2 linked regions of the Oryctolagus cuniculus genome follow. The protein of the gene in region 1 purifies or fractionates together with the protein of each later gene. This does not show direct contact. Links are inferred from orthologs where the notes say so. Each region holds a gene or a part of one and is shown on either strand. Other genes may lie near its edges. The genes, in order: FNDC3A and TENT5C.

What was found.
Region 2: the proteins of FNDC3A (region 1) and TENT5C purify together in Homo sapiens (affinity purification with western blotting; 3 studies listed by BioGRID, with this or other methods). This does not show direct contact. The link is inferred for Oryctolagus cuniculus from reciprocal best matches to the Homo sapiens genes FNDC3A and TENT5C.

Annotation. Positions count from the first base shown.
Region 1 is NC_091440.1:68,347,945-68,362,591, reverse strand, and holds the start of FNDC3A (fibronectin type-III domain-containing protein 3A), read right to left. Parts: upstream 7,048-14,647; 5' UTR 7,007-7,047; coding exon of another isoform or gene 6,969-7,006; 5' UTR 6,943-6,968; coding exon 6,781-6,942; intron 6,460-6,780; exon of another isoform or gene 6,181-6,459; intron 5,761-6,180; exon of another isoform or gene 5,507-5,760; intron 1-5,506. Other genes in the region: uncharacterized protein, read left to right, coding at 6,969-7,006, 7,048-7,229, 11,790-11,919. UniProt on the Homo sapiens protein: Mediates spermatid-Sertoli adhesion during spermatogenesis.
Region 2 is NC_091438.1:52,805,949-52,820,756, reverse strand, and holds the start of TENT5C (terminal nucleotidyltransferase 5C), read left to right. Parts: upstream 1-6,537; 5' UTR 6,538-6,795; intron 6,796-14,808. UniProt on the Homo sapiens protein: Catalyzes the transfer of one adenosine molecule from an ATP to an mRNA poly(A) tail bearing a 3'-OH terminal group and enhances mRNA stability and gene expression.

The sequences.
Region 1 (14,647 bases):
GGAAACAATAGCTGAAGTTGTCTAGAATATAAGATCAGAATTCTCTTGCAAAAAGGGACAAGGCATTGGATAAGCATGATGCTGAAAGATCATGGAAAGTGTTTATATACATCCTCTTTGCCAAGAAAGCAGTTAAAACATGAGTAAACTAAACGTTTACAGGAAATATACCATGTTTACAGAACTTTTCCCTTACATATTAGTATTGTCACATGTAAGCACTTAATATGGTACTTTAATTGTCTTCATCATTTTCAACATCTCTTTGGGTCCTTACAGTACATTCTAGGAAAACAGATATTATTCTCTATTTTAACAACTTGAAAACCAAGAATGAAAAAAAATTAACCTGAAATAATCATCAAAAAGTGGCAAAGTTCGAACTAAGATCGAGCTTTTGAGTCACTATCCAAGGTACTTTATCTCCTATTTAGGAAATAGAAATAGCTGGAATGGTGAGGATGTTTCAAGCTTGACAAAAGGAGAAGGGGAAGCATGAAGTGTTTATTTCCCCTTAAAGCAAAATTTAAAAAGTCAAATATTTTATTAAGTTTACAGATTGTGACAAATATATACTAATTTAAGACATTAATACTAGGGGAAGCTGTTTTTTGGGGTAAATGGGAACTCTTTGTACTACTTCACAACTTTTGTACATTTAAAACTATTCTAAAGCACAAAGCTTAAAAAATTTTATTAAGTAGCAGTTTATTAAGGCTAAAATTCAGTTTAAAAAGTCTGCATTATCTATACAGTTACAAAACATGGAAAATACTAGTAATAAGTAAAACTACAAAAGTTAGCTTAGGTTTTGTGGTTTTGCTTGTTTGGTTGGTTTTAATGTTTTTAAGGGGAGAAAAGAAACACCACTGATTCTATCCAAACAGCTCCCCATCTTATACATCTTTACTTTATCCGGTTCCCAATATTTACCCTGTTATACAGAATGTATTTAGCAATGTCCACTGAATAAAAGAATGCTCTTATGTTGTATTCTTGCTCCCTTGATACCACAAAATATAGTATAACCCTGGCCAACTGATTCATGCAGCCATACCTGAAGCACTGCAATTCACCTGGTAGTGGTACATGAAGCAGTGTATGAAGGAAATAGAACTACCTTAGACTTACACATCTATAAATTTACAAACTTAGAAGTGATATTTCATATAAATGAATTTTCAAAATAACATTTATTCTTTAAATTGCCATATTTTATCTTACACTGATCTTAGTGGAAATGTTTGAAATTTCTAGGTTTTCCTTCCTTGCCTTCATCTATACTTTGATGTACAAATTTGCATTTTGATAATATGACTCTGATGCCTCAAACCCATCAATATAAACATCAATTATCAGGCTGTTCCATTAACATAGTGACTCTTCCCAGAGTTACTGTAGGATGTTATCCAACTGCCCCTTCTCTAAATCATCCTAAACTACTTTCAAAAACAAAGTTCCCTACTTCCTGCTCCTTTGCTCTTATTCACAGACTAACAGCACCCAAAGTCATAGCTTCTGAAATTATAGCTGTCATTCTAAAAAATGTAAAACTAACACAGGCAGTTAATATACTTAATCTTATACAAATTCTGCATCAAACCACTGTGGCTATTTTCACTGCCATAAGGCCTGACTCAAAGGCTTTTCTTCTTTCACTTCCTAGTTCTTTTTTTTTTTTTTTTTTTTTGTTTTTTGTTTTTGTTTTTGTTTTTGACAGGCAGAGTGGACAGTGAGAGAGAGAGAGACAGAGAGAAAGGTCTTCCTTTTGCCGTTGGTTCACCCTCCAATGGCTGCCGCGGCTGGCGCGCTGCGGCCGGCGCACCGCGCTGATCCGATGGCAGGAGCCAGGAGCCAGGTGCTTTTCCTGGTCTCCCATGGGGTGCAGGGCCCAAGCACCTGGGCCATCCTCCACTGCACTCCCTGGCCACAGCAGAGGGCTGGCCTGGAAGAGGGGCAACCGGGACAGAATCCGGCGCCCCGACCGGGACTAGAACCCGGTGTGCCGGCGCCGCTAGGCGGAGGATTAGCCTAGTGAGCCGCGGCGCCGGCCTTCACTTCCTAGTTCTAAAATCTATTCTAGACTCTTGCTAGAAGTTTGGTCACAAAATAATAAGACTAGTACTTATTTTAGCATATTTTCTTTATATTTAGTATAACATAAGGAAAACACACAGTAATAGCCACCAAACAACCATACAAACCAAATAATAGAGGAAGCTTCAACAATATGTATATAAGGACTATTACCTAGCCAATTATTAGCCAGGAGTCAATAAACTGAGCCCCAGGCCAAATCTAGCCCACAGACAGCTTGTTTCTGTTTGGTCCTTGAGCTAAGAATGGTTTTTATATTTTTAAAAGACAATAAACAAACACAAATATTCAACAGAGACTGTAAATGGCCCACAAGGCCTAAAATATTTATCATCTAATACTCGACAGAAAAAAAATTTGTCAACCCCTAATTTAAGCTACCTAAGCTAGTATGTGTGAGCTATCCAGTATACACAGAACTTAAGCTATTAATATGTCAAAGTAGATGTAGTTTTTTTCAGTGATGAGTTCCTAATGACACAGCCAAGCTGTCTTGTCTAGCCTTGCCTATTCCTCTTCTGATCCAGTCCCACAGCTTACCTAAAACCTCTACCTAACTTAATTTTTTTCTTCCTTGTAATACTTGTCCTTGGATACTCTACTACTTCCAACTCAGCCTGTCAATCTCTTAGGGAACAATTTTCCATTTGCCACATAAATCTTTCCTAAGTTTGAAGTCTGACTTCCTCAAAATGCCTCTTAAGATTCTTCTAGCCCTCTCTGACTGCACTTCCCATTAAAGATGGCAGCACAAACTTTAATAAAACCATCTTATCTTGTTTGCTACTTTGTTAGTCTAGTATCCCCAACTACTTTATAAAGTACTTGGAGGAGAGAACCCATTATACTGCTTTTTTATCTCCACTGTAATGTCTCATCATCCTCTGAGCAGATGCCACCTCCCAAGTGCACTTCTCTATCTTGGAGAAAAAAGTAGCCTCAGGACTGGTAATCTGTGACAAGTGATGGAAAATATATCAAGATGACACCATAAAGGAAACTGATGGAAAACCATCGACTTCACTGTAAACTTAAAAAGGATAGCACAGATTGAAGACAAGAAAAACAAAATAGTGGGAGGATTGAAAGGTAAGAATCAAGAGATTAAAAAGATATCACTGGGCCTGCGCTGCTCCACTTCATATCCAGCTCCTTGCTAATGCACCTGAGAAAGCAGCGGAAGATGACCCAAGTCCTTGGGCCCCTGCACCCACATGGGAGACCTGGATGGAGTTCCAATGTTGCAGCCATTTGGGGAGTGAGCCAGTGGAGAGAAGCTCTCTATCCCTCCCTCTCTCTTTGTAACTCAGCCTTTCAAATATAAATAAATCTTCCAAAGAGAGAGAGAGAGAGAGAGAGAGACAACCGACTAACACTCTGAAATGAAATTAACAGAAATATTAAGAAAATTATAAAAGCTCACAATATATGTAAAAGAGTAAAATCTGCCTTGCAATACTACTGGCCATTAATTTCCCTTAGACAAGCAGCTCTTGACACTGACACACACAGGGGCCATATTTCTTGTTTTGTAATGTGATAAAGTTCAACGCAGTAGATATGCACAGTATTCTAAATCTCTGCATTTATCATATTGTGAATTTATTTGAAGTCTGCTACAGAGTGCTAAAGAAGGAGGAAAAAAAGAAAGAAAAGACAGAAAGAAAGAAAATAAATAGCAATCCTTATCTTTTGCTTACCTGGCTAATAACACTGGCACTTACATGCACATCTTTACATCACTCTCAAAGGCTCTATCTAGACTGTTTTCTTGGGAAAATGAACCAAGAATTTTTTTAAAAATCATTTGGTTAGTTTATCACACTGTATTTAAAATACAGGTAAAATATAAGGGGCACAAGTTTTGAATTATGAACATAAGCAAACATAAATGTTCTTAAACAAGAATAAATAATACTCATAAGCCTAAATTTAAAATGGATAGATTATAAATTAAATGCTCTTTGCCTAAGGAAAGTCACAAAAGATGGTACGAATATTAATCACACATTCCTTTTTTTCCCTTGGTTTTTAACATAATCTCTCAGCCCTTACCTATGTCTGGTTAGGGATGATGGAAATTTTTTTCTTAATTAGCAAAAAAAAAATAAGTTCAATATCATATCATAGGCATCTGACAAAAAATTATCCTTAAAATGCATGGCAAAATAAAATAGATCTGCTCTTAATTACTCACATGAAGAGAGGAAGTGACAACACAGATGGCACCAAAGAAATCTGTTTGTTCAAATGCATATCATTAATTTGGGAGAAGCAAATTACCCTTATAATTATGCTTGACTGAGGCCAGGGGTAATCAGGAGTTTATTTTTCCTGAGTATTCAATGATTTGCAGGATTTAGACAAAAAGGGAGAAGAGGGAATTCAGAAGCATACAGGTGGCTAAAGGTGGCCAGCCCAGAATAAAACCATTTTCTAGTTAACCTACACATGGAAAACTAAGAGATGATCCATGAAGTGAAACACAGTAAAATTTAATGATAGTATTCAAAATTCTAAATATAAAATCTAATAAAACATTAACAAGATTTTTCCTGTCATGTCACCATCTCTTTTTCCCACTAATCAGTGATATTATTGGTGAAAGCAAGAATCATTAGCAGGTTAAAATGCTAAAAGCAAAATTTGGGGTTGTAATTTATAAAAGACACGTCAGAAATCCTCCTTTTATCACTATTTCTGTTAGGCCCACCATCTGTCTCAGTGACACTCTATCTCAACACTTGAGAAAAAATTAATTCAAAGAAAATATCAAGCAGGCAGAGGACTCAATTCTCTTGAACATTTTTAGGCGATTTAAACAAAACTTACAAGATGGCAAGAATTACAGTTTTAGCCAATACACAAAAACTAAATATTTATCCAAACACAAGATTACAGCCCCAAAACTCATTTTGTTTCTGCCTAACATATGGCTCAAACTCCTGAGTGGCATATGTTTGGTACTGGTAACAGCACAGTGATAAAATACTATAGAAAGAGTGCAACTGTTATGTTATTTTTATAATACAGAAACACACACACTTTGGTTTCAAGAACTAAAAATACAGACCTCAGTAAGATGCAAAATATTAGGCTGCTGTTTTAAAAGCCATCGGGAACACAGACCGAGGATTATACCTGCTATTCTTAGCTAACAGGTGGTCCCATATCAAGGTTTTCGAAGGAACTTACATAAAATCTCAGCCCCCCCCCCCAAAAAAACGAAAGAAATATCTAATTCACGACCCCTAGCACCCCCAGCAATCATTACACACACCCCCTAAAATAGCCCAAGGCTTTTCAACTCCACAGTTTAGTAAGAGAGACGATCAACGACTACGCTCATTAAAACAGCGACTGTTCTACTCGCAACTGATAAAGAAAATATCTGCCCATTTTCCTTTACCTAACACATGACGTCCTCCCAAAGCCGTGTCAAAAGTTCAAAGATCCAGGTGGTTACACAGGGCGAGGGCTGCAGCTTCGCTTCCACCTCCCGACTGCACAGGTGGTTAACTCACCTGGGGAGAGGAACGGCTGGGTACTGGCAGCAGCCACACAGATCAAACACAGAAGGGCGGGTTTTCGAGGTTTTAACCCCAAGGTGAGCCGGGGGTGGAATGGGGTGGGAGGGGAACTCTCTTCAGAAAAGTCGCCGGCTGCCGGGCGGCCCAAGCCCCGCGGCGCAGCTAGCGCCCGGCGATCCCCTCCAGAGGGCTCCGCACCCGCCCCGCACACCCTCCGGAGCGGCGCTGCCCGCCGCGGGGGAGGCAGGGGCCCCGGGGGAGGGCCGCCCGCGCCCCCGCACCGCCGCGCGCCCCCGCAGGCTCGCCCCGGCGAGGCGCGGCCCCGACAGGTGCCCGACTAGTAGACGGGTCCGGCCCCCGGCTCCGTGCCCCTCAGCCCGCAGGTCGGGGTGGGATGGGCCGGGCCGCCCTAGAAGGGGCCGAGCCCCGCCGGGCGCCCCGGCCCTCAGCCACAGCCTAACGGTTTCCGCGGCGCCAGCTCCGGGGCGGGACGGGGCTGGGACGGCTCAGTGTCGCCCGCCTTTCGCGGAGGGAGTGCCGCCCGCGCTCTCACCTCCGAGTCACGCCGCCGTTCTGAGGCAGAGGAAGGCGGCTCCCCTGGCGCCTCTTCGGGTTCCTGATCGATCGCGATCTACCTCAGCGGCAGAGCCCGCTCTCGGGGCCGCCGGCGCGCCGACTGTTGGGGTTGTTTTCCCGGCAGTGACGGCGCTGCCTCAGCCTCGCTCTTCGCTGCCTCTCCGCGTAGCTCCCGCTTTCTGTTTCACCCGAGGGACCACGAACGCCGCCGCCGCCATGCTTACTACGGAGCCGGGAGGAGGAGCCCAGGGTCGGCGCGCCGAGTGCGGCTGCGCGAGCCCTGCCGACGGCGCCCCGGGCCGGCGGGGACCCCGCGCCCCCGCCCCGCGCCCGCCGCGGGTCTCTCCCCGGGGTGCGAGTCCCCGCGGAGCCCCGGCGCGTGGCGTGCCAGCGCCCTCGCGCCGCTCCCGGAGCGCCCACCTAGCCCCGGACTCGCGGCTCCGTCTCCCTCTCTCCCGAGGCCCGGCTGCGCCTGGCTCCGAGCCACACTCAGGAAACGTGTAGTTCATTGACGTTCCTAGGGCCGCTCGCTCAATACTCAACCCACATTCTAAAAAGGCTCCCTCTCGACACGCACCTTGTCCGCCCCTTTCCGAAAGCACCAGAATTTAACGCCGGCAGGTGCTTGTGGAGACACTCCCCCAACCCCTCCAAGGACTGCGAAGCCAACGGAAGAGGGCTTGGATGCTCCCAGTCGCAGACTTTCAGAGCCCGGGATCTCGATAGCAAGCACAAACATTTAAAAGATTGGCTTCCGTTGAGAACATGTGGGGTCGTTTCTTGGTCTCTGCGGCAGCCACATCGCGTGGAAACCCATTACCTTAATTTCCACAACAGCTTGAAGACTTACGAGGGACCGCGGCAGAGATTTCCTTAAACCTCAAGCAATTGGGGGCGCTGCGGCGGTGCCCACGGGCTGGTCTAGGCTGCCTGCTCCGGCGGTTTCCACCGGAAGACCTGGGGAGGGGGAGTCCTGGGGACGGGAGTCCCACCCCAGCAACCACCCGTTCGGTGAGGGTGACAGAGGTAACCCAGCTCCGGGTCTGGCTTTCAGTTCATTAAGCGTGCGGCCTTTTTTTTTTTTTTTTTTTTTTTTTTTTTTTTTAGCAACATGTTTTTACACCGTTTTACAGAAACCTCTGAAAGTATGTAGTTTCTACTTTCTTAAAGAATACAATGCCTAATGAAATCCTTTGTGGCCGGCTATCAAAAGCGATACCTTTGTCGCACGCTGACGTCTCAGGGGAATGCTGAGGTTTATAAAATCCTGACTTGGTGCGGTTTCCGCTCCTCCGCACCCTCCCCCCATGGCCTTGGGAATGTTCTCATCGCCTCTTCTAATATCTGTCATTTCCTCATCATCCTCTTTATCCACTCTGATCTTTCCTCTCAACCTTTCCACTTTACTGTTTAATTTTTTTTTTACTCTTTTCTCCTTTCTCTGCTTTTTTTTTTTTTTTTTTTTTTTTTTTTTTTTTTTTTTTGCTATGGCCCCAGGTGATGAATGATGGGATATTTCTATCCGTAGACAGCTAGTGAGACGTTCCTTTTCTTCGGGTCAGGAAATAGGCGCGTGACTGTGTATTAAAGGTATCTTGCGATATTTTCATAGCTCTTCACCATCAAAATTTTCTGCCCTGCAAGAAATGTTTGTTTTCCTAAACTTCCAAATTTGGCTTTCTTCCAGACAAAATTGCTGGAAAGCAGATCTTAGAATAACTGAAGTGTAATTGTATGTTGTTTTAAAATATGAGGATTTATCAGAGTGTAGGTTAGCTGCGTGGCTTCTCCATTTGGCTGCCCAGTTCTCTTTGGCCTGAGACTAGGCTAGGAATTTCCAAACTCAACTCTAAGCTAGTAATTCCCAAAACTTCCTACTTGGGAATTTTATAAAAATACAGAATCCTATAATCCACCCTTAGGATTCTGATTTCTTTGTTCATAGGGAAGCCAAGAAATAGCATTTTTAAAAACAATGTTTTTGGGCCGGCGCCGCGGCTCACTAGGCTAATCCTCCGCCTAGCGGCGCCGGCACACCAGGTTCTAGTCCCGGTCAGGGCGCCGGATTCTGTCCCGGTTACCCCTCTTCCAGGCCAGCTCTCTGCTGTGGCCCGGGAGTGCAGTGGAGGATGGCCCAAGTGCTTGGGCCCTGCACCCCATGGGAGACCAGGAAAAGCACCTGGCTCCTGGCTCCTGTCATCGGATCAGCGCGGTGCGCCGGCCGCAGCGCGCTGGCCGCGGCGGCCATTGGAGAGTGAACCAACGGAAAAAGGAAGACCTTTCTCTCTCTCTCTCTCTCACTATCCACTCTGCCTGTCAAAAAAAAAAAAAAAAAAAAAAAAAAAAAAAAAGAATGTTTTAGTGAAGTATGTATGTCCCTGGGCATTCATGCATAGGCAGAGTGAGGAAGAACAGCTATTTTATTTGTTTGTTTTCTTTCCTGAGAGAGAGAAGAGAGAGCGACCGAGCAAGAGCCAGCACTCCTAATTGCCGGTTCACTCCCCAAACTCTCTCAACAGCCAGGACTGGGTCATGCCCAAACCAGGAACCAAGAACTACATCCAGGTCTTCCACATGAGTGTCAGGGACCCAGTAACTTGAGCCATCAGTGCTGCGTCCCAAGGTGTGTATTAGCAGGAAACTAAAGTCAAGAGCAGGAGCTGGGAATTGAACCCAGACACTCTGGTGTGGATTGTAGGCATCTTAACCACTAGGCTAAAAACCTGCCCAAGAACAGCGATTTTGAAGGGGAGTTGGGCATAATGCAGGATGTCTTTGAAATGGCCTTAGACACTGTGGTCAACCACATGGTAGGCTATGAGGTTCAGTTAAGCAAAGACTGGGGGAATTTATGTCCTGTGGAGAAAATTAAATATACACATAATTGACCCTAGCTTGTACACCAGTCTAAGTTCTCTGGGAACACAGAGAAGGACAGTAAGTTATGTTGGCTTTGATCAAATCACTTCTCTACACAATGCTTCATTTTCCTTATCAATCAAATAAGGGCCATTTTCAACTCCCATCACTACAATACTTTGAGCACTATTTGTCCTTGAACATTTCTAGTCTCTTTGGTGCTGCATTTTCTGGACACTGCTTCTCTAATTCCTCTGCAGGCTCTTGCTTATCTCTCTCTAGCTGTTAAACATAAGAACTCAAAATTCACATTTAAGTTCTTTCCTGTTTCTTTGTAATCCCGTGGACTAAACAACATTAGCCACCACAATGATTTTATCATCTCTAATGATGATTTCCATGTATTTCCCTCTTGTACAAATTGTTCCCCTGCACTCCAAATTTGATACCTACTGCTTCATTGACATGTCCACATAATGTCTCAAAAGTTACCAAATTTAGTCCAATAGAGTTCATGAACTCTTTGTTTTCATTTCCCTCATCTACCCAGTTGTTCAAATCAAGCATCTGGCAGCCATCCTTGAAGTCTCCTTCACCTTCACCTTCATTCCTCACATCTGTTGCAGCACCAACTCATGGTAATTTTAACTCTAAAATGTCTTTGGCCCACTTCTTTCCAATCACTACCGATCTAGTTTGATCTCACTGTACACAATCTCGGGCCCTGCTTTCATTTGTTGCAACAAAAATGATATTTCAAAAAGCAAATATGATTTACATAAAACTCATAAACAGCTTCCCACTGCTCTAGGATAAGACTGGAGTTTTTTTTTTTTGTTGTTGTTGTTGTTGTTTTTGCCAGGCAGAGTTAGAGAGAGAGACAGAGAGAAAGGTCTTCCTTCCATTGGTTCACTCCCCTAATGGCTGCTACGGCTGGCGCTGTGCCCATCCGAAGCCAGGAGCCGGGTACTTCTTCCCGGTCTCCCACGTGGGTGCAGGGACCCAAGCACTTGGGCCATCCTCCGCTGCCCTCCCGGGCCACAGCAGAGAGCCTGGAAGAGGAGCAACAGGGACTAGTACCCGGCGCCCCAACCAGTGGTACTAGAACCCGGGGTGCAGGCGGAGGATTAGCCTAATGAGCCACGGCACCGGCCAAGACTGGAGTTCTTAAGGTGGTCTTTCAGACCGTGTGAGGTCTGGCCCCACTCTCTTTTTCCAGTCTCATCTCCCAATGCTTCCTGGGCAAAAGACTTACCAGGCTTCTTTGAGTTTCTTTAATGTCCTATGACCCCAGCAGCCCCAGGTTCTATATATATACTTTCTTCCCCCTTTTAACTGTCTTCTATCTCACTTGGGCTTCAGGTTTCAGCTTGAAAGGGACATCCTTGGGAAAAACATTTCTAGCCTCTCAGGACAATTTTAAGACCTGTTACTGGTGTCAACTTTCCTACCATCATCTACCTTTCCTTCTTATGACTTTCCACAGTTTGTATTACATTTTGGCATGTGTGAATGTATGAATACTTGGTTAATGACTGTTGCTGCCTCTGTGAGGACAAAGACTATGTCTGTGTTGACTTGCACAGTGCCTACCACGTAGAAGGTGCCCAATTACTACTGAACAATTCAGGGATATTCTTTGAGGTCTCTTCCAGGATTCTAGAAGGTTGTTGGATAACTGATCATTTTCAGAAGTGGTGTTTTTTTTTTTTTTTTGTATGATTACTGGGAAGAGATGCGGGAAAGTGTTGAGAGACAGTTCTCCTTAGTTTTTATATATCTGTACATCTTGTGAACAGAGGCACTAATAGCTTTTGTTCTAGACTGTCTCTTCAAGGATTTTTGTTTGGCAAACAGCCTTGGAAAATAGACCTAATGTCCCCCGCCAGAGCAGAGGGCACATCTGTTTACCATCCAATATAATAAAGAGAATGCTACTTCTGAGGTAAGGCTAGAATAAGTTTTCTTGTCTCCCATTATAAAAGACTGAGGGTTTCTTAAGCTCAGGGTTCTTAACTGTGACAGGAATCTACTGCAGGTGGAACCACTCATTGCTCCAAATGAAACCTGGGTGAACATGACACTGCTGCCAGCTGCTATGCTGAAAGTAATACAGTTCTTTGACCCATCCATAAGTTATTAGTAAGTTGTTAGCTGGCAAGGAGGAGGACAATAAAAATCTCAGACCATTCACAGTTGTTTTATTTTGTTTTCAAGACTGATTTATTTATTTGAAAGGCAGAGTGACACAAAGAGAAGGCGATAACTCCATCCTCTGGTTCACTCCAGAAATAGCCACATCAGCCAGGACTAGGCCAGGCCAGGAGCCCAGAACTCCATTCGAGTCTCCCATGTGGGCTGTAGAGGCCCAATCCTCTGACGGTCCTCTGCTGCTTTCCCAGGCACATCAGCAGGGAGCTGGAACCAGTGCCCTGTTATGTGATGCTCGCATTGTAAGCAGCAGCCCAACTTGCTGCACGACAACAATGGCCTATGCACAGCTCTTGACAAAGTATATGGGTTGAAGAGAGAGGACAGATGAAGAAGTCAAATGGAAAGTAGAGATTTGTCTTGTAGAACGTTTTGAGGGAAAAGTTTGCTGATGAAAGGAGAGAGATGGGACAGTAGATTGAGGTAGGGGAGTTGTGTTGCTCGAATCATCCAAGTAGCACTGGGGTCCTCACTGTGAACACAAAGAGAATTCTGTTGCCGCTGTCCTTTCTTTAGGTGCAAGTCTGGAAGAGGAAGAAGCAGTTGACCTGGAGGGAGGTACACCAAGTAAAGCAGCCAAAAGCATGTGTTTGTCTCTGAGGAGGAGTGTGGTATGTAGGGGAGGAGAGACTGCCTTTGGAATCAGGTAAATCTGGGCTTGAATCCCAGCTCTTTTACTAATTGCTTGATCTTAGCCATGTTATCTGACCTTTCTGGAACCTCAGTTCCTCATCTAAACTAGGAATAAAATTCCCACCTTACAGAACTAAATAACATAATATGTGAGAATGCCAGATATAGGCCTAATGATTAACAAATAGATGATACTATGTGATTAGCATGTCCTGGATAATTATGACCTCAGGATGTTTGGGAATTCCAGAAGCTTCCTCCACATTTCCAAGGATACTTGGGAAGAAACTTGCCCAGGGTCAACACTTGCTCTAAATTCCTGATCCTATTGCCATGCTATTACTCACTATGTATTCCCAGGAATGGGACAGCTCTTTCCCTAAAATCAAAGGAAACAAGGCCCAAGATAGGAACAATCTTGAATTGTTCAAGAAATAGTAATTGGGTACCTTCTACATGGTAGCCACTATGCAAGTCAACACAGACATAGTCTTTGTCCTCACAGAGGGAGCAAGAGACATTAACCAAGTATTCACACATGGAATGTTGGCCAGTTACACCACAGGAAATTTCTCTCTGGCTATCATTTTCCTTAGACTTCATACTGCCACTAATTTTCCATGTTCCTTCACTCTAACAAGAATCTTCTCCACATTTTTCTGAATTTCTGGGTCCCCTGAACAGCACTTCTTTTCAAAGCCACCAGGGGCAATCGCCAAATACTTGTTAATTTACTGTTACTCAAAGCGATGTCTCTTTGTTTCCTTTCCTAACTTTTATCCAGAATAGCGATGGAGGCCTTAGCTTTAATCTCAAAAATGAGAAGGTCTGTTAAAGTGATTGCCTAAACCAAATATCCAAGAGAAGTACTTCTTAAATGTTGGCATGAATAAAAGCACCTGGGGTACTTCTTTAAGCCCTCTTCCTCACTCCAAGATTTGATTCAGGTATCTGTTTTGCAAGCATTACAAGAAATTTTGGTGAGTATAGTCCATGGGCCATACATTGAGCATCTTAGGGCAACCCACCCCAACATCAGCCGACTTTTGCAAATGAGGTTTTTCCCCCTTGTGACGTACAGTTTAACTAGGGTACACTCAGTTGTTCAAGAAAACTGCCCATCTATGGCTCAAGTCCTTTATATTGTTCTTCTTTATAGAGAAACTAGTTGAGAAAAACCAAGAAATTCCTTAGTCACAAACATGATAATCTTAGTAATCCAAATTTGTTAATGTTACTGATATACTTTCAAAGCAATGCTAGGAGGACAGTTCTTACTTCCAAAAAGGGGAAAGACTTATCTGGTTACTGGCCAGTCTTATTGAATAGCTTCCTGATCTAAAGGGGCTATACAATAATACACAGATTATAAGGATTTTTTCTAGGTTGAAAAAAAAGTCTCTATATCTGTCTTTTGGACTTCAACAGCTCTTTGATGTTTTGTACAGCTTTAGGAGACTCTGATAGCCACCCTGGGTTTGAACACACTATCTATGATCATTATCAAGCATAACCAGATGACAGAAGAAGGAGATAGGAATCAATAAGAATAAGTAGGTAGAAAATGACTTGAGTTTTAAAAAGTATCTCCCAAACTACCTGGCTTTTATTTTCTCCCCCACAACAAAAGCAAATTTCAAAACCAGAGCAATCATTTACAGAGATAACAACAAAATCTTTTTTTTTAAACAGTGAAATCTTAATCTGGAAAAAGTAGAAATAAAATATAGGTGTTAGGACATGGAAATTCAGATAACCTAAATTTCAATTGTGATTTGCCAAACTTCAGAAATCTCTTCCCCAAATTCAGAGGTAAAAATTAGTAAATCTTTACATTCTTAAAACTACTAGATATATCAACCACCTATTCATGGTAGATAGAGAAAATATCTTTATACAATAAGATATTTACAATATACCATACACAAATGATATAATAAATTGCCCTTATCATTTTAAATTATATTGTAAAAATGACATAGATAGTCTTTAGATAAGGATAATGATGTATATTAATGGGAAAACCCAGGGAAGTAATTTGTAAATTAAAGGTTAAGTTTTATTTCTTATCTCTTACTTTTATCTATAAAGTTTTTAAAAGTTAAGACACTTCTGAGCTTCCATCTTATTTTCTTTATGTATACATATAAGACATAAACCCAGTACTATTATGTTAAAAACCCAATAGCAAAAATTAATTACTGCTAATAATTGCAATTACTAAAAGAAAGCAAAAGTAAGTGACCCTTACTTAAAAAATAATGAAATATGACTCTATCAAATAAACATTCAACTTCAAATTAGAGAAGCTAATGACTTGAGACATTACAAATTTAAATGTAGCTCATTTTCCCCAGCTATAGCAGAGTAAGAATAAAGTATAACAGGATTGTACTAGAAGTCTCAAGAGTTCTCACATTCGTCCCCCATTCATACGCAAATCTTCTCCAGGTGATTCTAAGAATCCCCAGGGATTTGCAAAGGTACACTCCAAGAATCAGTCTTCTAGAAGGCTGCATTTCATTTACTGTCTTCCTCCTCTGGTTCACTGAAGTGTTGCCATTTGTTGCCTCTCGAGCCAACAAAGCTCTACACTGAAACTCTGCTGACTATACCAAGGCTTCCTCTCCCTGACTTATGCTGCCCCAATGCCTATATGAAAGCTACAGTTTTCCATGGACATAATCTCCTATAACTGTTGTCTTCAGCTCCCAAACTCCCATGGACATCATGGTGAAACA
Region 2 (14,808 bases), on another chromosome or scaffold:
GGCTGCCCCAAATCTTGCTGCTGGCTCACCTGGGCTATAACCACTCCAAACGCAGAACAGACGAGAGGGCAAGTCTGCCGCGAGACAGGAGGGTGGCTCCGCCCGGTAGCTTTCAAGCTTCTAGACAGAGACTCACAGGGATGTAGTCAATGAGGGTTCCAAGGCTCTGCTCCTAGAGGTTCTGATTCAATAGGGCTGTGACGGGGCCCAAGGACTCTGCATTTAAAAGAACATGGCCCTCCTCCATTCCCTCCACATCAAGAGGACTACTATGGGCACCTTGGCATCTGAGTTTTGGGTGCAAATCCTGCTTCCTTTGGCCCCTCTTCCCTAAGACTCAGTGATCAGAGGAAGTGGAGGAGAGAGACCAGAGGGTAAGAACTGGGTGGCAGAGAGAGGCAGGCAGGGTAGGCCCAAAGCAACCTTGCCATCACCCAAGAGGAAACCCACAAGTAGGACACTAAACCTCGCCCGGGCGATTAGTGCTCCGGAAACCACGGGGACCCGGTGGCGGCTTTGATTGATGCCGTATTCTTTTCCATTTCTTCTCTGATTACATTGATCCTGTACTTTTGCTGATGTTGTGACAGTCTAATTATAGACTTCTCGGCTGCTGAGCAAACAGTCGTCCCCTCTCGGTAAATCCGCCTGTTACACAAGCGCCAGCTCTGGGACACTGTCATTATGTGCAGTCAACCCCATGATGCACCCTGGGCAGCACAGCCCCACACCCTTTAGCTCCTTGACATTCACTGCTGGGGCTGGAGGCATCCAGGCAAGCACAGCTGGGTCATTTTCATTCACGGGGACTGCTGGGGGCGGGGGGAACCGAAGCCCGATGCTGCAAGGTGACTGATAGACCACACAGCTAGGAATGGAATCTGAGATTTGAGGAAGGGGTGGTTATCCAAGGCCTCTTCCTTTTTCTTCTTTGCCTTTTTCCATCAAACATCCACTGAGTGCTTATTCCAAGAATTCTGAAGAGGAAGAGCGTCACCTGGCCAAGAGCAAAGGGTATTGGCAGGGTGGGGCCAGCTGGCCGGCCTCCATTCTAGAAGCTTCTCAAGAATCCATTTTCCTGGCCCTCACACTTGTGGGTTTCAGGGCCTTGTGTGCATCTATCTGTGGCCCAGGGCTGGCTGGATCAAAGGATGCTGATTCATTCAAGCGGGGCTCACAAAGACTGACGGATGCGGTGGGGAGGGCGACGTGCATGGTCTGGCCAGCCGGCATCCAACCCTCCTTCCTGTTTGGAGACTTCTCTGCCTGAAGAGGCTGAACCCACTCCCCAGGGTTGAAACGGAAAACGGCTCATGAGTCACTGCTCCATCCTCTTGGGTTCTGTTGTCAGAGGCACCCGCCCACCCTGCTGGTTGGTGGGAAGCAGCAGGGACTGGAGACACAAGGCTTCTGATGATCTAGAGGTGGCAGCGGTGGGGGCTGGGACGGCTCTATCCCGATGCAGCAGCGGCAACACCAGATGCCTGTGTCAATGATGACGTCACGGTGTCTTCCCAGACCAGTTGTGTAGCTGGAGTTTTAGGACTTGTTCCTGGAAGCAGAGCCAACTGGTCATGTTCTCCAGCTATCCTGCTGAGTTTGTGGGCTCCTCGACATAGCTTTTTAAATTCCAGCTTGCTGAAATCAGCCAGAACCATATTTGATGGCTTTGCAACTAAGAATCCAGTCTCCTACAAGGCCTGGGCAATACGTGAACTGAGAGCTACACCTGCTTGGTGATTTAGGTGCTACCGGCAGTTAGGCAGGCTACATAGCAATGGCAGGAGGCTCTGCCCTAACTGGAAAGGGCTCCAGCATTGGGAGTTTCAGGGCTTGGGGCAGGCTGACAGTGAGACGGCCTGGATCTCGGAATAATGCAAGTTCAGAGTGGACTCCATGGTTACTCGTGAGATATGGTATGATCGGTTAGCAGTTCACACTTCCATGGAATCCCTTTCACCAGGAGGGAGATTTGAAAAACGTTACTCCTCAGATAAGAACTCTGGGGCCCTAGGAGAGAAGGCAAGCACTGTGTGATGTTGACAATTGACCCTCCTCTGCTCTCATCCACCTTGCTTGCCAAGCTGTCCCCACAGCGCAGTGAGAGAAGGGAACAAGGCGGGCAAAGAGATGCATCTTGTGAACGGGGCCACTGCTTTCGCCTGCATCCCTGACTTTACTCGATGAGCGCACACCTCCACCAAGCAGCAGGCTCCTGGCCATTGTCTTTCCCCTTTGTGCAGGAGGAAGCTGAGACTCAGAGAGGTTAAGCTCTGTGTCCGAGGTTGCACTGTGGCTGAGACAGGGATCCAAGCAGTCAGACTCACCCCCTTTCTCCACAGCCACACCATCAGGGTGGGTGGGCAGCGATTAAGTCCACATGGTTTACCTTTGACTTCTTCTTTTCTCTGACAGTGTCACCCATGCCCCCTCCTCCTTCCTGGAGCCCTGTCTTATTCCCTTCATAGGGTCTTTGCATGACTGCCAGGCTGCCAGAGCTGTGCCCATAGATGCGATCCACCTCCCCCTTTTTTCTTTCCCACCAAATCCAACCAGTCCTGCCTCCCATTCATTCTGGGACTTAACTCCAAATAAGACTAATGTCTTCTGGGGCTGGTGCTGTGGTGTAGCGGGTAAAGCTATTGCCTGCAGTACTGGCATCCAGTATGGGTGCAGGTTCGAGTCCCAGCTGCTCCACTTCTGATCTAGCTCTCTGCTACGGCCTGGGAAAGCAGTAGAAGATGGCAAAGTCCTTTGGCCCTTGGACCTCTGTGGGAGACCGGGAAGAAGCTGCTGGCTCCTGGCTTCAGATCGGTGCAGCTCCGACCATTGTGGCCAACTGGGGAGTGAACCAGCAGACGGAAGACCTCTCTCTCTGCTTCTCCTTCTCTCTCTGTAAATCTTTCAAATAAAATAAATAAGTCTTTAAAAAAAAATAGGCTAATGTTTTCTTTCTCTGAATCTCATTCTCTTTCTGAAACACCCAAGAATACTGCTTGAGGAAGTCCGAGAAGAGATGGGCATTTCCTGGAGAGAGTGCTGGTGGGAATTAGAAAGCCAAGTCATGTCTTGGCCCCACCAGAGCACAGACAGTGCCTCTGTGGTGGTTTTAAAATCTGCCAGGGAAGGCTTTGATGCTACTTTGTTTGTGATTGAGTGCCGGTAACATAGGTTTGTTCAGTTTGTGAACACTCACTGAGCTGTGTTCTATACACTGTGCCCTTATCTGCATACACTGATAAAAAAACTTAAGAATTGGTTTAAAGAAGATGTTTAGAGAAGGGTATTTGAATAAACATCTACAGTGGTGATTCACCTTGAGATACAGTAGTACAAACACTCAGGACTTAAGAAACTGATAAATCAGGCCACAGCTAGGCGCTGTACAAAACTTCTTTCTTGAAACAACAAAGTTTTTCAGGGCCACTGCTACAAGTGAGGCATGCTTGCATCTTAAAGACCTTAATGCTTTTCTCTCACTCAGCTTTCCCAGGTGCAAATCAGTGAACCACCGGGAATGTAGAGGTTTTTAAACCACGTTGACTGCAAGTGCTTCAGCAGGGTCCGGAATTTGGCAAGGAGGCACAGTATATTGGACAGTTTCAATATCTGGTTCCCTGTCCTGTCCGATAGGCAGGACGTGGGTACTTTCTAATACTCCTTCCAGCTCCAGGATGCCATGGTTTTATGAGGTAGAAAGAACAGACTGTATTAAAAAAAAAAAAAAAAAAAAAAAAAAAAAAAAAGCAAAAGCACACAGTTGAAACCAAAATCTAAAAACAAGTCAAATAATGAATATCCCAAGGAAAAAAATTATGCCTGTGTATGAATAATGAATTTCTTTTTGGCGCTAGGTTCTCCCGATCTCTCCACCATATAATTGCCTAATTTTGTTCAGAAAGTTGAACAATTTCAGCCAAGCAAAGGTGCTAGGTCAAATTCTAGGCTAAGACTTTTTGCCCTGTGTTCTACCTTGAGGCCACCTGTGCTAACTGTATCCACGAGGCACTGAAACAGTTGAAATGGCCAAAGCCAATGCAATAATCTGTATTAATTTTTTTATGATTGGAGATAATTTATGGAAGGATGGCTAAGTTACTGACCCAAGGCCTTATAGATAGAAAAAGTGAAAGCAATGAAGAAAACAAAGGAGATTTTCTTTTTGGCCTTAGGATAGGCAGAGACTTAAGCAGGACATAAAAATACTAGTCATAAAAATAAGATTCATAAATTTTAAAATTAAGAATTTATGTTGTGGGCTGGCACTGCAGCAATTGTGAGTTAAGCCTCCACCTGTGGTGCCAGCATCCCATATGGGCCCCGGTTCAAGTCCCAGCTGCTCTACTTCCAATCCAGTTCCCTGCTATTGTGCCTGGAAAAGCAGTAGAAGATGGCCCAAGTGCTTGGTCCCCTGCACCCACACAGGAGACCCAGAAGAAGCTCCTGGCTCCTGGCTTCGGACTGGCCCAGTTCCAGTCATCAAGGCCATTTGGGGAATGAACCAGAGGATGCAAGATCTCTCTCTCTCCCTAACTGCCTCTGCTTCACCCTCTCTGTAACTCTGCCTTTCAAATAAAAATAAATAAAATTTAAAAAAGAATTTATGTTTATCAATGATAACATTAAAATAAGAAGCACGTCATAGGTTGATTGAAGATATTTGTAATACATAATGCCCTGGACAAAGGACCCGTATTGAGAATATACAGAGTTCTTACACATCAATGAGACAGACACCTCCCCCAAAATGGGCAAAAGCCTTGAACAGAGACCTCATTCAACAGGTGCCAGAATGGCAAGACGCATCTAAAACGTTGTTCACCATCATCGATCATCAGAGAAATGCAAATTTACATCAGAATGAAATACACACCCCTCCTCCCTTCTCGTAAACTCGAAAGACTGACAGTACAAATACTGGCAAAGATGTGGAGCTTCGAGAAATCTCACATCACTGGTTAGAACATAAATTGTTACACCACTTTAGAAAACTGTTTGGCAATATATCTAAAGCTTCACATGGCTTACTCCAGGAACCAGGAATTCCAGTCTGGGTGTATAACTGACATAAATGATTTTGCTATGTCGACCAAAAGACGTGTAAGAGTGTTCAGGCCGCTTCATTCCTGAAAAGTCAATATCTGATGCAACTCAAATGACCGAATATTTATAGAATGAAGTAATAAAGAGTAATGAAAAAGAACGAGCCACTGTTAGACACAAGAGTGAACCTCACGGTTTTGTATGTGGATCTGGGTGGCAGGTACGTGGCTGCACACGTGTGTAAAAAAATCATCATTCTGCACACTTCACGATTTGTGCACTTTACTTAATGCTATTCCTCAAAAACGGTGAAAAAATACCAGACCATACATCCTCATTTTGGGACCAACAATAGGGCCACTGTGGCTTTTCTTACAAGCACCTCAACCTGCGGTCCTATCCCATTACAGCTCCTGGGGACTCCCAGGAAGACACTGATCTGAGAACTCAGCCTGCTGTCAGCGGCTGAGAACCATACGCATTTCAGGCAGGGACGGACATGGGGGGAGGTGAGGGCAAGGAGACACTGCAACTTTTCCTCCGCAGCTACTAGAGGATGAAAACCAGCTCAACGACTGTTTGTTGATGAATAACGGCTACCATTAGATATAAGCAGCATTCGCCACGGGGTCACCTTATACCAGACGCTGCACTGATCAACTTTTCCAAACCCAGGGAGCTCCGACTCAGCACTAGTCCGACCCTTCGAAGCCGTCCCAGGCTGGGTCCCAGCCTGCAGCCAGGAAGTGGAGGCTTGTGGAGAGTCCTTTAGGTTGCTCACCCAGGGCCTTAACGCTGGTGGTGAACGGAGATGCCAACCCCAGCGAGTCTGAATGCTGGCCCTGGGCTGGACGCCGCCCCCTGCGGGTGAATGGACGGCGTTCAGGCCCCGCCCGCACGTTATGTAACACACACGGCTGAGCCCCGAGGCGTTCCGGGTGCGGGGCTGGCCGCGGCTTCCCCAGGCCCTCAAGCCCAGTAACTGCCCACAGGTGGGCCCTGCAGCCTGCTCACCCACCGCGCCCCCGTGACCACGCCTCCACCCCCACCCCAGCCCCAGCCCCAGCCAAGCGGGGCTTGCGCAATCCCAAAGGTTCCCAGGGCCCTCAAGCCACACTTCTTCCAACTTCACGCACAGCGCCGGATGCAGGCATGGGCACCTCATGGTCCGCTGCTGGAGGAAGGGGGACCAGTGCGAAAAGCCCCGGAGAAACGTAAGAGAGGCAGGCTGCAAGGGACCGGACTGGAGGCGGGAGAAGCTTGTTGGGGGGGGGGGGTCGAGTTACCCTGCGAGGGGAAGGGCAGAAAGGAGAGAGCCGTCCCGGCAAACGCCGAAGTCAGGGGTGCAGACACAGCCCCTCTCTATTGCGCCTGCGCAAGGCTGCCGCGCCGCGCCCCGCCCCTCCCCGCCGCAGAAGATTTACTCGTCTCTCGGCAACCATTCACCCGAGCGGCCAATCAGAGGGCAGCGCCGGCCCCGCCCCCGCCGTCAGCGCGCCGGCCGACTCCTCCCGAGGGCCTGCGCCGGCCCCGCCCCGCCCCTGGCTCCCCCAGGAGGGCAGGCTTAGAGGCGGGGGCCCGGCGGCCGCGGCGGCGGGCGGGGGCGTGGCCAGGCCGTATAAGAACGGAGGGGGCGGCGGCTGGACGGCTCACTCGGTGCCGTTGCCTGGGGGCTGCAGTGACCGCGCCGCTCCTGCTGGGGGCTGCCCACGCCAAGGACCTGCCTCTGTCGCCGCCTCTTCCACCGCCCAGGTGAGTCCCCGACCCCCCTCCTCCAAAGGTGCGCGGGTGCCGCGGCGGCCGGGGCGAACCGCACGCTCGGCCCTCGGGGGTCCGCCCCTAGCGAGCGGTGCGCCCGTCCTGGTCGAGCCAGGTGCGGGGAGCGGGGACCGAAGTGGAGGCGCGGACAGGTGCCCCAGTCCTGGGCTGCCTTCGCCTCCTGCTCCCTCCACGATTCGGCCGCCCGCCCGGAGAGAGAAAGAAGGCTACAACTTTCCGGAGACTGCGGCCGGGGCTTGGCAAAGTGGAGCGAGTTCCTGCTCGGCGCGTCCCGCGGGGCAGGCGCAGGCAGGGAGGCCGGGAGTGCGCCGAGAGCGCCTCCGGGCCCGCTCCGGGCCCGCTCGGAGGCCCCACCGCACTGGCCTTGCTGGCGGTCTCGGGCTCGCCCCTACGCTCCCGCGGGCTCTGGCGGGCCGAGCGCGAATTCGAACGCGGCGGTTCCGCCGGGCGCACTTGGAGACGGAGCGGTCCGAGGCTTGCAAGTTGCGGGCAGGGGCGGGGCGCTGCCTGGGCGCAGAGCCAGGGTCTGGGCTGTACGGAGAGGGGCGGGACAGCCTTGACTGTCGGTGGACTCGCTGTCCGCCGTGGACACACCGAGGGCAGCCCAGGAGCCGAGCGAGGGGCTCGTGCGCGCGTGTCTCTCGGAAAGCGTCTGCGGGACCCGATTCTTACCCCTTTGGGAAACCAAACTTGCTTACCGCGTGGGCGGGAAGCCCCGACGGGTCTTGCGGACTTGGATAGCGGCGCAGCGGCTGGCCTCCAGGCGCGTGGGCCCCGCGTGGTGTCCCGGTCCCGGGCTCCTGGCGCTGAGATCTCGGGACGCGAAGGAGAGCGACGAACCTGCGGAGTCCAGGTGTCCGCCTTGAGGCCGCGAGCGCCAGCGAGGAGACCCGAGCGCGCCTCCTCGGAGTGAGCGAGGCTTCCTGGAGAAACGCGCCGGTCGTCCGTGGCGCCGGCTGTTGGGGCTGAGCCGGACCGAGAGGGACGGCTCCCCGTGTGCCCAGAGAGAGAAGCTTCTGCAGGCTCCGACCAGCTCTTTAAGTGCGGATCTGCTTTCAAAAAAAAAAAAAAAAAAAAAAAAAAAAGGCTTGTAGCTTGTATGACAAGAGTACGAGGAAGTGCTGGAAGCGCACTTGCAGCCCATTTCCATAAAGACTATGTGTGTAAGCATTTGTATTGTAACCACTTGGCATTCAGGATGGTGGGTAGGGGTTGGAGTCCTGAAGCACCCCAGGACGGAAAGCTCAGATTATTAAATGCTGGCTGTCCTCCTGGGAGGATGAGGGTGGCCATTGTTGGCTGCACCGACCTTTCAACGTGAGTAACTTGGCAAGGAAGCAAGCCAGGCAGGCAGGCAGCCAGGCACCGTGAGCTGGTGGAGGAGCTTACCAAGAACTGCCCCGTGTCTTCCAGCCCGACTTGGGACTTGGACCCCGCCCCGTAGACCCTGCAGTTGTGGGGGGGCAGGGTGGGGACTAAAATGCTGACTTTTCTGTTGCTGGCAGGGAGGCAGGCAGTCTGGGCTGGGGCAGTGGTGGTTCTGTCCTTTGACATTCTTGCTTTGCAAATGAAAAAAAAAAGCAAAACATGATCTCTGGGGTGAAGCTTCGTGTACTTCAGGTCCCTGAAACCTTGTCTGTTGGAGTATACACCTGCTCCTGTCTTAGCAGTTTTTGGAGAGAAGATTTTGGTATATTGTGTGTAATTATTCAGGGAGCTGCAGGAGGTGTCCCCAGAAGACCACAGTTAAAAAAAAAAAAAAAGTCTATCAGGAGGCATCTAAGTTACCAAAGGAAGGTCCCTAATTTCATAAGTCATTTGGTGTGTGCACACAGAACTAACAGCCATGCTCTTCCTAACGAGGAGTTTGTTCCACAATAGTAGCCTTGTATCCAGAGATTAAATTCATGCACCTCTGAAGGAAAGGGCCTGGCTGGGTTTTTGTTTGTTTACTTGTTTTGTGTGTGTGTTACAGAATGAATGTTATTGATTGAGCACCAGCTCTCCCTGCTTAGTTTCTCCAGCTGTCCTGCTACCACAGGAGTCACCTTATCCTGAGTCCCTGCCTCCCCCGCCCAGCCCTATCTCCCAACAGTGCACATATTTAGCCATCCTGCCCTGTGTTCAAGGTCAGGGCAGACCATGTACATCCTGCACAACCCATCAGAACAGAGAATTCCTCATGCTTCTGAAAGTCCAAGGAACAGCCTGGCAACAAAGATAATTTAAAAGTGCACCATCGTGCCCTTATTCTTACTATTCACTGGACACACTTGAGACACAATGAGAAAACTATTTTAATTTCTTTTCTTCCTGCTTCAGTAGGTAGTACCGGGGTCCTCCCTTTTCATCTTGGATGCGTTGTATTCACGGAGTCAGCCGGAGAAGGAGGACGACCCAGGAGTTCTGAATGGATGTGCTGAACCTTGTTCATCACTGCGGGAGGATGAGGCAGCCGAGGCCTAGTTCCCCGAGTTAAATTAAACTTGTGTTGTTGTGTTTGGGTTTCGTGGTGTTGCACCTGACTTGCAGTTGTATCGCTCGTGTGTGTGTGTGTGTGTGTGTGTGAGAGAGAGAGTGTTAGTTTTGTGGTTAACAAGGAGCCATACAGAGTCTAAAGTGTCACTTCGGAAAAACCGTGAGTGTGGCTAGATAAAGTCTGTTGCTTTGTTATGTTGTCACTGAAGTCAGCAGGGCAGCACAGAATAATGTCTTCTGCGGTCTTGGTGCTTTGGCTGTGGCACACTGAATTGTCATCAGTCGTATTACGATGAAGCAGGGCACCTTTGTAATTCAGAGAAATGTTCCCATCTGTAAAGCCACTTGGGCACATCAACAGTGCTGATAATCTTATGATATTTCCGGGACTGAAGAGTGCTCTAACTTTTCTTTTAACCCTTTCGTTGCCTGCATGATAAATAAGCTTGTGTTTGGAATGTATATGACTTGGAGGGAGAATTGTCATTACATAGCCCAACTCTGTATGGGAGCCTTGTGAATTGTTTCCAATGAATAGATCGTGTGCAGCTGGCCCCGTAGCCTGTTCTAAAACTGTTTGCGGAGCTTGGGGAGCTTCTTGGAACAACAGGAAAGAACCAATATGAAGAAATAACTGCTGCTGTTAAGCAACCCCCCGCGTGGGATGTTTTTCAGCCGCAGAGCCTTTGGAGGCTTGGTCACTCGAGTGTGCAGCGTTTCCTCTTGGGTCGCAGCGCTGGAGGCAGTAAGTGGTTAAGTGCTTCCTAGGCAGCGCTTTGTGCCAGGTGCAGTGGAGGCCAAGGCAATGGTATGTGAGGGCCTGCGGAAGCCTCCGCGGGCCGCTGTGCGAGAGAGGAGCTGGGTTGACTTCAATCCTGCCCTGGAGCTGCTCGGTTTGCCCTCGTTAGTGAGCTGCAGGTCAGGGGCAGTGGGGAAGTCCATGCTTGCTGAGAACCCCAGCCTGCCCGTGTCGTCGTGTGGATTGTGGGCGCGCCCCTGCCATTCCTTGTCGGAGTAGGAGGCGTGCTTTTGGTGGGCGTCTTCCTGGTGGGCCGAGGCATGGGAGGGAACCTTTTTGGACCCAAAGCCCCCAGCCTAAAGTGCAGGGCAGTTTCTGGGTCTTGGTTTTCTGGAGGCCTCAGGGGTATAGGTCTGGCGCCCAGGGCCGAGACCTGCTAATTGGCCAACAGCTGAGGCTCCTGAAGCCTCCCCGGGCTGTCCCGCCCCCAGCCGCCCAGGGCTCGCTCAGCCTTTCTGTCTCTCTCCACGTTCACTCAGTTGCTCGTTCTGCTGATGCTTTCTCTCTTTTATATTTGGTTTCCCACTGTCATCACTGACCTGGTTTAGGGGCCTGTGGACAGCTGCCTGCTGAGAGCACTGGCCCAGCACATCTCTCTGCCTCTGGCCAGTTCCACTGTCCCAGGCTCCCAGGACCCTCTGCAGCCACTCAAGGGGGCTGCCCTTCCTCATAACACAGAGCCTCCTTTCTCACTCTTGTCTTGACCTCCCTTGTCCCGTCTTGTGCCTGCCCTCCCTAGCTGCAGAGTACCCACTCCCCCTTCCTCCCCAGACGTGATGGGGGTCAGCTTTGGGCCCTTCGCACAGGCTTCTGAAGCCATGGCTCCTGTCCCCTTGCCTCTCCTCTGCAGTACTACTTCTGTACCGTTGTGCCTGGCACCTGATTTTCTGGTTTTTGTCTTCCATGAGATGAGCACAAAAAGTTCCTTACCTGTGTCTGTGTTGAGCACCTCCTCCATAAGAACTTATTGAGGAGAGAGTGACGCATGAACCCTGCCCTCTCCACTTGCTTAGCCCTTACAAGGATAGGAGAGAAGGCAACACTCCACCTAGCCCGGCTGCCTACCCCTCACCCACACACACTCTGTTGATCCCTGCCCTCTGCTTGCCAGAGTCCAAGATGAGCGTTTAGGTCTCCGGCAGCTGCCTGGTGCTGGGGGTGTTACATTATTCTGTCAATCACATGGAGTCACTTTTTGGAAGTGTGCTGATCCAAGGGTGGAGGTGAAAGGCGTTGCCAGCTGAGCACCTGCGCTGTGTCTGGCTGCTTGCCAGGGTTGCTCAGCTAGGAACTAGCTCTGGTTCCGTGTGCTGGGAACCTCACACCACGTAACGGCTGCTTCTCCCCTGCCCAGGCCCTTTGTAGTCTTTATTCCCCCACCTCGCTGCCTTGTCGGCTGGCTGCCTTCAGTTGTGGGGAGACCTGGGTTCTGGTCCTGGCGGAACTCTTGGCTCTTCAAGCTTCGCTGTCTTCATTGTAATAAGGGCAATCGCCTAGACCAATAGAAACAGGAGAAGCACAGTGAACCTTCCAGTAGTTGTGGAATTCATCTTACTGGGTCTGTTTACCATATCAAATACTGTGATTTGAATATAAAAATATAAATGAGCTATTTTCTATTTTTTCATACCAAGTCTTTGAAATCTAGTGTGTATTTTACACTTATTTGTTTTTTTTTTTTTTTAAGATTTATTTATTTGAAAGGCAGAGTTACAGAGAGAGAGAGAAAGAGAGGTGTCTTCCATCTGCTGGTTCACTCCCCAGATGGCTGTAACGACCGGAGTTGCACCGATCTGAAGCCAGGAGCTTCTTCTGGGTCTTCCATGTGGGTGCAGAGGGAGAAGGGCTTGGGCCATCTTTCACTGCTTTCCCAGGCCATAGCAGAGTGCTGGATTGGAAGTGGAGCAGCTGGGACTTGAACCGGTGCCCATATGGGATGCCAGCACTACAGGCAGTGGCTTTACCTGCTACGCCACAGCGCCAGCCCCTGCACTTATTTGAACCTGCTGCATTTCAAGGCTCATGGCTATCATATTGGCAGCCAAGGTCTAGATGGTATAAAAACATTTTAGTCTCAAATTCTGATTCCACATGTGTATGTGGAAGTCAAGAATTCCACAGCCCTGAGTCCTGGGAAGAGAGAATGAGCCGATGCAAGCCTTCCACGGGCAGGGATCTTTGTTTCTGACTTGCTGCTGTATCATGAGCTCCTAGAACAGTGCTCGGAATGGAGGCAGCACACAGATAGGTGAAAGACTGCCAGAAAGTTGGGCCACTGTTGCTGACTTACTGATACTCATCTGCCCTGTGAGTCAGACTGGACACCAAACTACAGCATGTTTGATTCCTGATCTGGTGCTTCTTCTGTTGCTTTGTTAGTTTTTTAAAGGATAGCTATAAGGAATGTAGCTTCAAAGGAGTGTGGGTAAAATTTTCTGAGACTGGCAGGGAACCTAGGACGCCAAACAGTTACATTTCATCAACGCTTAACATTTGAATGGAAATGCAAAAGGAAGTGACTTTCAAGTGACAGGTACTTAGGAGAGACCTAGTGACAGGAACACACTAATTGCTTGGTAAATGCTCATTTGCAGTCATCATCAGGAAGTGCACGCATGACCAGTGCCTCCACATGTTTGAACGCCAAAGACAAAGTGGTTTGACCACCTTGGGTATAGTTGGTGTGGAAATAGGTATCACCGCGTGGTTTGCTCCTTCCTGTTAACACCACCCACCCAAATTTCTATTAGCCTTATTTTAATGTTGTCCGCGGGACCTCTGAGCCCCTCAGCCCCTCGGGCCACTTCCATGCCGGAGAACCTGGAGGTCAGGACTGCTGCTGCTGCGTGATTGTTAACCCTCAAGCAAAACACAAACCCCGTGAAACTGCCTGCGGAAGTGGCGTCTGCACTGGAATTGAGGTCAGCTCACAATTGGGTGCTTGTGACTCGGGTGTGTCCATGTGTCAAACCGTGATAAATGCTGCCTTTGAGTAACCGAGGAGTTGTTTGTCCCTTTCCTGATAAGGCCCAGGGATGCTGCCGTGACTAGACAGGACTGTTAGCCAGCTGCAGTCTTACTTGGGGACAACTGGCCACCGTCTGAGGCTCTAAGCCTGAGAGTTAGATGGCCAGGTAGCCTGTGGATGAAACCTTTGAACTCTGCTGGCTCTTAGCTCTTAAACCCTGCGGCTCCAGCAATATCCCATTCTCCTCCCTCTCGTCTGTCTCTAAAACAGAAGGGCTGGCTCTGTTTGGGAAAGTCTTTAAGTAAGTTCAGACCAGTGGCATCGCTGATCTGGAGAGAAGCATTGGATTGGGGGCCAGGCTTTCCAGTGTGTGTGTCTCACACTGAAGGCTGAAATGTTGGGGAAGAAAATCGGCGCTTTATGCTCAGTGTCCACTGGAAGCTGTCTGGTTGCGATCATGTTGGTACGGGCATTTGCAGCCGCTCCAGGGTATTCTTTCAGCACTTGCACTTGCCTGCGGTAATAGCTGGCCAGTGTTTTGATTCTGGTTTGGGGCTGGTTTTGCAACCGCAGTGTTAGTTCTCCCAGCCTTATCTCTCCGCCCACACTTGCCCAGACATCCTATTTTGCAAGGTGGGAAAGAGCTTTCTGTTGGGAGTTGTCATCGTCATCAGGCGGGCAGGCGTGTGTGGCTAGAGCCCGGTCACTGATAACCATTCAGACTGCTCGTGGGCCTTAGTGGCAAGTGAGAGCTCGGGAATCCCCCTCCTGTGACCCTGAGAGCCTGGAGCACAGCGAGGGCCACCCCGCTCTGTTCTGTGGCTCACCTCGGTTTCCGTCCAGAACTCTGCCGTGGGAATCTAACCAAATTTTTTGAGTCTAGTCAACAGCAGTTGTTATGTGGCTGGGAGGCTGTTGACAACCCTGAGAAAAATCACTGATACCTCCAGCTGCATGTGACCAAGCTGAGCGTGAGAAAAGGCCATCTTGGGTGTGTGTGTGTGTGTGTGTGTGTGTGTGCGCGTGTGCCCTGACTTAGAGGTGGTTTACAACTCTGGCGTGGAAGGCAGAACTCTGTGAGTGGAGGCAGAACGTGTTGTGGGTATTTGAGTGGGCCAATGTAAAAATAACTTCTTGGGAGAAAACAAAATCATTTTGTCTGGTTCTGTTACCTTGGGCCGTCTACTAATCTAAGCTCTAACTTGGTGTACATGAAACACACGTGTGTGCCTCTGTTATCTGTAACTTTTGAATGTGTGGTGGGGTGAGGGGGAGGCGTGGAGGAGTCTCCAGAGTGTGGCCCTCTCCTTGTTGTTGGATCCCAGGCCTGGTGAGGACAAAAAGCTTCCTCAGGCTGCCCCCAGGTCCTAGATAACTTCTGGCCTTCACCCTCCAAGGCGTTCAAGGAGTGGAGGGAGGCTTTCTCTTGAGCAGGTCTAGTCTACATCGACCCTGGCTTTCCTGTGTCTGCTCCCTTATCTGCTGCCGCCTCTGTCAAGCAGTGGGGCCCGTGCCCATGGTCATTCACAGCGCCCGGCCCTTCTCTTGTGGCCGAAAGAGTCTTGAGGGTCAAACTCCATGCAGGTGGAGAAAGTAACAGGTGTTCAGTCTCCAGTTCAGCATTTGCAAGTCCAGCTGTCAGTCACAGGCCATTTCTGTTTTCTGTTTTGCTCCGGCTCTGCTTCCTGGGCTGGTCACCTGTGCAGGTGTCCCCACCGTCCCTCGGTATCTGCCGTCAGGT